Xenopus tropicalis: one gene and its partner. The protein of the gene in region 2 purifies or fractionates together with the protein of the main gene of each other region. This does not show direct contact. Links are inferred from orthologs where the notes say so. Each region holds a gene or a part of one and is shown on either strand. Other genes may lie near its edges.

Region 1 (3,753 bases), on a different chromosome or scaffold from region 2:
GCTGCCCCCATGACTACACAACTGTTTATGAATGAATGAGACATGTGCAGAATATATTTCTTGTTTTTTTCTTATTTTAATAAAATTTATATACATATATATATATACATATATATAGCGAACCCAGGGTGGCACTCTGCTTCAGCTCTTAGCTCGGGTGCAAGGTAAATGATTTAAATATCCAAAAAAGACCAGCAACACCGAGTTGTTATATTCCAAAAACAATCAATTGTGTATTAAAAACACATGAACAGCCAACGTTACGTTTCGGTCCCCATCGGGGCCTTGAGAAAGGTCCCGATGGGGACCGAAACGTAACGTTGGCTGTTCATGTGTTTTTAATACACAATTGATTGTTTTTGGAATATAACTCGGTGTTGCTGGTCTTTTTTGGATATATATATATATATATATATATATATACACATACATATATAATTTGTTGGCTGGTTGGTTCCTGGCAAGTACATCAATAGATTAACAGAGAAAACCATTCATATGACATTACATTTAACAGAGAGACTGTAACAGATAAGGAGGCTTGTTTCAGGCAATGTACACAGATGCACTGTACTTATAAACTATAAATATATAAAATCTAAACCTCTAATGCAGTTAGTTTCATACTTTCTTTGGTTCAAGTATGCCTTTGAGGCACAAAAGTTAGGATGCTTATCAAAAATCTTACTCGAATACCATTTAATTGGACTTTTGTATTCTTTATTAAAGTAAAAACTAATGCTCACCACATTACCTGGTCTTCAGGCAGGACCTCACATTCATTACTCTGGGATCCCCAAGGAGGGCCAGCCCAGTTTGAGGACCACTACTCCACTATACCAAAAAATAAAGAGCGCTTATCGGCCAATGACATGCAACACCTGTTGCAGATGGGCAAATGTTTTTGGAAAGCACTGTGCATGATATTAAGCTTGTGTTAAAAATGGTATTGTCATGAAAGAGGGTAATTATGTGCTGACAGTATCCCTTAAACATTGTCACTTTAATTCCAAAGGAAGAGGTGGTGACAAGAGACCCTCTGGGGATCCTAAATAATAATTTCAACAAATGTGTACAGTCTGTAGTGAGTTTAAGGGAGCCTGCAAAATAGGTTTGTTCTGTTACAACCATTTCTGGCATGTCTCAAAAAAATGACTGTACCCCTGCTACATATTTGAGAGGGGCTTAATGTCTTGCTTCTTTAATGTCTGCATACTTACCAACATGTTTCCAGCATTATGGGAATACATCATTATTGTGTGGTATGTTATATGCATTGTGCATCCCCTTGAAATGTATAAATACACACACACACACACATGTATATTATATACAAGACACTATAAATCGATCAGGGCCGATATTCAAAAATATGAATATCCAAAATGCACAACACTGACTTTATTTACTGCATAAAATGCCAGTTGTGCACTAATACTACTCCCACCACATTCATTAATAAACTGCTTTATGACCCCCTGCCAACTACATGACTACTCTAGCCACAAAGGAAGCTGGGAACGCAGGACATGCAATCCCTCAGATCGATAATGCAAACTCATCCAGCGCCCATAAACAACAGAGAGCAGCTTTGCCCCGGGCACCACGTGACTGTGGCGCCCCCCCTTCCCCAGCCAGGGTCACGTGCCCGGTATCTGCCTGTAAGGCGAGCTAGGGAGAAAGCTCCCACATTAGCGCGCCCCCTACCCACGTCCCAACTACTAGTTCGCGCAGGATACCCCAAAATAGACAAAGATTTCTCTAGCGCTCCTGCACGTTGATAAAGCCCTCTTGGCCAGTGTAAAAACAACCCCACCCCCCCGTTTTATGAGCAGCTGTTGTGCGACATTCAAATACTGTGTGCAAGGCCCCATAATGCTTAGTGGAACCCTGAGGCTGCAGACTTTACCGTCTCCTCTCCGTCGATGTCTATCTTAAATGTTTGCTGCTGAAGGGTCTTCAGAGTGATCTGCATGGCTGCTGTCGTATGCTGTCCCCAGCTCCGGCCTGATGTTCAGCCTGCTGCAGTGTGATAGAAGGCGCACTCCCCTCTCTAGACACGCAGTATATCCGACTCGGAGACGCTTTATCCGTGTTGGAAGTAAAGAAGACTCCTCCCCGTTACTCTTCTACAGTCCGCCGATCGCTAAATGTACGGCTATGAAGTACAGTGTCCAGCGCTTATTTCGCTGTCTCATTAGTACGGCCTGTCCGCCGCCATCGTGACTCCGCTGACTGGAGACGCGCGAGACTAGGAACTTGCGCGCCTGCGCCAGGGGGCGGGGCTACGGTGCGGCCGAGTGGGTGGGGCGTGCGGCTCTCAATGACAGCCATGAGCTGTCACTTCGTGCGGTGATGTCACTGCGCGTTCTGCGTTCAGGATTTTTTCTATTAGTAGAACTCGTTCCGGCCTCTAAGCTTACTAGGCAAATTGTGTCATGTCACTCACACACTGTGTGCACAGCATGAATCAGCAGTGAAGGAGCAGCGACTTACCGTAAGGTCGCAAACACCCAGACTTGTGTTACAAGGGCTGGGTAAAACAATGTTATTGATAAGGGTAACTAATAAAGAGAATATATCATAAATTAGAACATGTCATTACCTCCAGAGAGAGGTATTAGCAGAAACTGGTTTTGTGTTTCAATTTAACTCCAGATGAATGCAAATTTAAAGGAGACATATCCTATAAAAATGAAGAATGTACCAGGGAATTATACTCCTCTAGATATAGAAGGATTGTGCTTAAAAAAGTAGTGTTTCAGACTGATTTATTGAGAAATTCCACAAAACTCCCACTAACCCCGCCCATCTGTTCCACTTCTTGCTGGCTGAATTCTCTGGATGAGCCTTGGGGCCCTCAGTACCCTGCACTGTAGGATAGGAACCAATCAGCAACTAGGCTGACCTGATAGGGAACTGAAGTCTGTCTGTGCTTGTGTGAGTGCAGGGCTGTGATTGGCTCTCCCCCTCCTACTGTACTTCTGGCAGGGACCGTTAGGACACGCCCACTCTTCATTTCAAACTCAAACAGAGAAGTATGAAAAGTAAAATACTGAAACATGACCAGAAATTGATATATCTGCTTCCTAAACCTGTAGATGCAAAATAAGGATGTTATAAAAAGGTATGTGCTAGATTTTTATTTTTGTAATATGATAGAACCGGCACAGCATGCCTTGATGCTAGTTTTATTTCATGTAATACTGGAATTTAGGTAATGTGCTGACCCCATAATACCCAGCACCAGGACTGGACTGGGATTCAAAATAGACCCTTTCATTTCAAGTACATAGAGGCCCAAACAGCCCCCCCACCAGCACATTAAACCATTTATTAAACCACAATTTTTTTTTCAGAAAAATTCATATTTCTTCGAATTTTTAGAACTTTTCAGAATGACCACAATAATATTGTTAAAATAGTACGACTTTTTCATGGTTTTCAATAACTTCCACGAAAAAGTCGTATTTTTTGGAAAGACTGCGACCTTTTCGGAATTCATTCAATCTTCGGTATGGTGACTTTCTTTTGGCCAGGCTCATACCTCCCAACATTTGAAAACTGAAAAGAGAGGCAAAAAGATTTGGCACGCACAGCGCGGCAAATTTTTTTGACCATGCCCACTTTTGTGGCCACGCCCCAATTAACACACCCCATTTTTTTCTAAAAATACTCCTTTTATATAGTTGAAATGGCGGGATCAGATGCAAATGTGCTATACCCTCATACTGTACTACCTAAGGAAAACAA
Region 2 (3,753 bases):
AGACAACCCTCCTTTTCTGCTTGATAATTTGCAACGACCCCTAAACTCAGCTTCTCAACAGCTGCTCCGACCACACCGAGCATGTGCACTGTGTCAGACAGTTCCAGGGTAGGGATAACAGAATCCAAGATGGGGAGCACCTGTGACAACTGTAATGACCTATATCATTACTACTATAGAGATGCTGAAATTTTAATCCAGTCCAGTCATTTATAATATAAACTATGGCATTTCTAGCCGTATTCATTTTTAGGGTTTAGTGCTCCTTTAAGGAGAAATTCAGAATTGTTTTTTTTCTAGTTTAAATGAATTTGCTGCAGGTCTCCACGTACTATTTCTGAGCACATGGACCTGCATCTCCCCCAACTTAATGGGGCAGAAGGGGCAATGAATATGTGCCTCTTGCACCCTAACTGGCACAAAATTGACATGCAGACAGGCTCTCAGCAAACAGCCCCCTACAGTGCCAGCCCTCTGGAGCCTGGGAATTATTCCTGTGTATACACAAACAAACAGACAAGTCTGACTTTTAGAAATGAAATTGGATAGCAAGTCCCTCCACCCAGCTAGCTCATTTTGAATATTATACAAAGAATATCCATAAGAACCTATTTGCTTAAAGGAGAAAGAAAGGTAAAAACTAAGTAAGCTTTATCAGAAAGGTCTATGTAACTACAGCCATAAGCACTCACAGAAACGCTGCACTGACTTCTGTCAAAAGATTTCTTGTGTCTGTAATTCATGTGCTAGAGACACGCAGCTCTCTCCTGCTCCCCCTCCCTCAAGAATGCTAAAAACACACTCCCCCCTTAGGAATGTGGATCTGAGCCAATCAGCAGGAAGCTGACTCATAGTCTAACTAACTGAGCATGTTCACTTGGTCTGGGTGTCGGTGCAGGAGTGAGGCATTATGGGAACTTTCTTTACACAGCTCGGCATTTTTTCTTCCTGTTTGGCTTCTGATCATCTGAACGGGAGAAATATGGGGAGACTTAAGGGCACTATTGAGAGAACTGAAGGTATGCCTGCAGCTTGAGATTAACTCTATATTAGCCTTCCCTTCTCCATTAACATTGCTGTATATATTACTAGCCATTACCTTAACTGATTTGAAAAATCATCTTCTACATTGTCATCATCCCAGTTATCCTCCCAGACATGTGTATCTTCATCTTCATCTAATCCCGTCCAGTCTACGAGGCAAAAGAAACATTAAATTTAAACTGAAAGTTATAAAAATCCTGTGTATGTAAGATGTTTTGTTAAAAGCCACTCTCTTTCAGTGCAAGTATCCAGAGTGCTACACTATGGGCATGAGAGTACATCAGTTATATTTGTTACTTTTACTCCTAGAATTAGGATAAGTGTAACTACACAGACCTCCACCAACCAATATAACAATATGCACAAGTTCTGTTCCCCCAACCTTTTTCACTTTTTAAACCACATAAGCATGAAAAAATTTCCCCACATGGCCTGCTAGCAGCAGGAGGCTCTGCTTTGAGTAAAACTGTCTCTGTGCTTTCAAAGCTTGTCTTCAAGGCCAGAAATATAAAAAGAATCACCTACTTTGAAGACACTGGAAGCAACATCAAAAGGGGTTGGGAGCAACATGTTGCGCACAAGCCACTGGTTGGGGATCACTGGTTTAGAATCATAAATGAACCAACAACTCCCTCAGTTTTGAGCTGACACATCAGGGTACCAGGAAACCTCCCAGGTGTCAGTGGGCCCTCCTGCTTACCCAGCCATTTGGCCTGGTATGCCTATGTCATTAACCATTTCTCTATGAGAAAAAACGGTGTATGCCCAGATTTCTCCTGTACATTACAGTATGCACAGAACCCTGGAGCAGAACTCTGCAGCACAGGACACACACACACAGAACCCTGCGACTCAGGACACACACACACAGAACCCTGCGACCCAGGACACACACACACAGAACCCTGCGACTCAGGACACACACACACAACCCTGCGACTCAGGACACACACACACAGAACCCTGCGACTCAGGACACACACACACAGAACCCTGCGACTCAGGACACACACACACAGAACCCTGCGACTCAGGACACACACACACAGAACCCTGCGACTCAGGACACACACACACAGAACCCTGCGACTCAGGACACACACACACAGAACCCTGCGACTCAGGACACACACACACAGAACCCTGCGACTCAGGACACACACACACAGAACCCTGCGACTCAGGACACACACACACAACCAAGCCTGCGACTCAGGACACACACACAGAAGCCTGCGACTCAGGACACACACACAGAAGCCTGCGACTGAGGACACACACACAGAAGCCTGCGACTGAGGACACACACACAGAAGCCTGCGACTCAGGACACACACACAGAACCTTGCGACTGAGGACACACAGAGCCCAGCCGAGGAGACACACACACACAAACACACAACCCTATGGCTAAACAGACCCTGACAAACAGTGCTAACTCCACATCCCGAGAGCGGTAGGTGCGGCTGTACAAAAGGCCGGGCACCAGGCTATAATGTAGGTACCGCAGTATAGAAGCACAGAGTGAATGGCACACATGATATTGACGCTACTATACATGAGCGAACCCTGAGTCATGCCAGGCCGCTCGCACGTCCCTCTCCAGTCCGTATATACCTTCGGCGGGAAATTCTTCGAACTCATCGTCTTCTTCCAGAAGACCCAAATCAACAGGTGCCTTCTTATCAGACGACATTCTCAGAAAGCGATACAGAAATCAAAAAAATATACTTATTCCTATCAACAAATCTAACTCCGTAACAACCGGAACCGGAAGATACCGCGCGCATGCCCTCTTATGGATTCACGCATGCGCATTAGGGGGCGAAGCGTTCCACTTTGGCTGCGGTTCTGCGCATGCGTGAATTGGTTAGCATTCCTGGCCGTAATATCAGAGAGCGTTACTAATAACCTGTAAAGTGAACTTCATGTGTATCTATACATTATTATATATATATTATATTGCTAAACAAGTCACGTTTTTCTAAACGAGAGAATGTTATTGCTGTGCCGCTGTTAACGCCAGAGTTACCAAGACTGAGCGATTGTTGGAATCATGTCAACTAAACCCCAATCATTAAGTGGATCTATTTCTGGATATTTTGTATAATCTTATTCCTCTTTTCTCTGAATTAAATCATTAAGATCTCAAAAGTGGATCATTATGATAATGCAAAAACGTAAAATTTTTAAAAAACTTTGGGGCATTTCTAGAAAATCCATCCAAAAGGGCTGCACAGCAGTCAATGCAACCCTGCATCATGCATTTATTAGATGTATCCTTGAATTTTCAAATGATCTGGTACCCTTGTTTCTAATGGTCCTATTTTGTATCCCCTCTCATCAGGGCACACGCTGTAAGAGCCTGGTCACCTGCTCTCTATAATTTGCACCTTAATGTAAACAAACCTTCACCTTTGAAAAACATTGAAAATGCACCAAAATATCTTCAGAAACTGTCAGCATCCTAGCTAGCAGCCGTTGTAGGGCAATTTTGCCATGGAGGAGGGGAGTGGGGGGTGGTAGGGTCAGGATTCATGAAACCATTGGGTTGTCTGCCAAAAAACATGGAGTTAGTACATATTTATTATTTCAGTATATTTACCTGACTTTGTCAAAACCCCAGTACCCAGTTTTGAAAGTACAGTGCTTGGCTGGTGGCCATTGTGGCCTGCAGATCTACTCTCTAGTAATGAGTAAAAATGTGAG

The links. Proteins that work in one complex are often made in the same cells at the same time.
Region 1: the proteins of sem1 (region 2) and rad23b purify together in Homo sapiens (co-immunoprecipitation; 3 studies listed by BioGRID and IntAct, with this or other methods). This does not show direct contact. The link is inferred for Xenopus tropicalis from reciprocal best matches to the Homo sapiens genes SEM1 and RAD23B.

The regions. Positions count from the first base shown.
Region 1 is NC_030677.2:120,684,409-120,688,161, reverse strand, and holds the start of rad23b (UV excision repair protein RAD23 homolog B), read right to left. Parts: upstream 2,249-3,753; 5' UTR 1,976-2,248; coding exon 1,910-1,975; intron 1-1,909. UniProt on the Homo sapiens protein: Multiubiquitin chain receptor involved in modulation of proteasomal degradation. Binds to polyubiquitin chains.
Region 2 is NC_030682.2:33,752,607-33,756,359, forward strand, and holds the start of sem1 (26S proteasome complex subunit SEM1), read right to left. Parts: upstream 2,744-3,753; 5' UTR 2,741-2,743; coding exon 2,662-2,740; intron 1,194-2,661; coding exon 1,100-1,193; intron 1-1,099. UniProt on the Homo sapiens protein: Component of the 26S proteasome, a multiprotein complex involved in the ATP-dependent degradation of ubiquitinated proteins.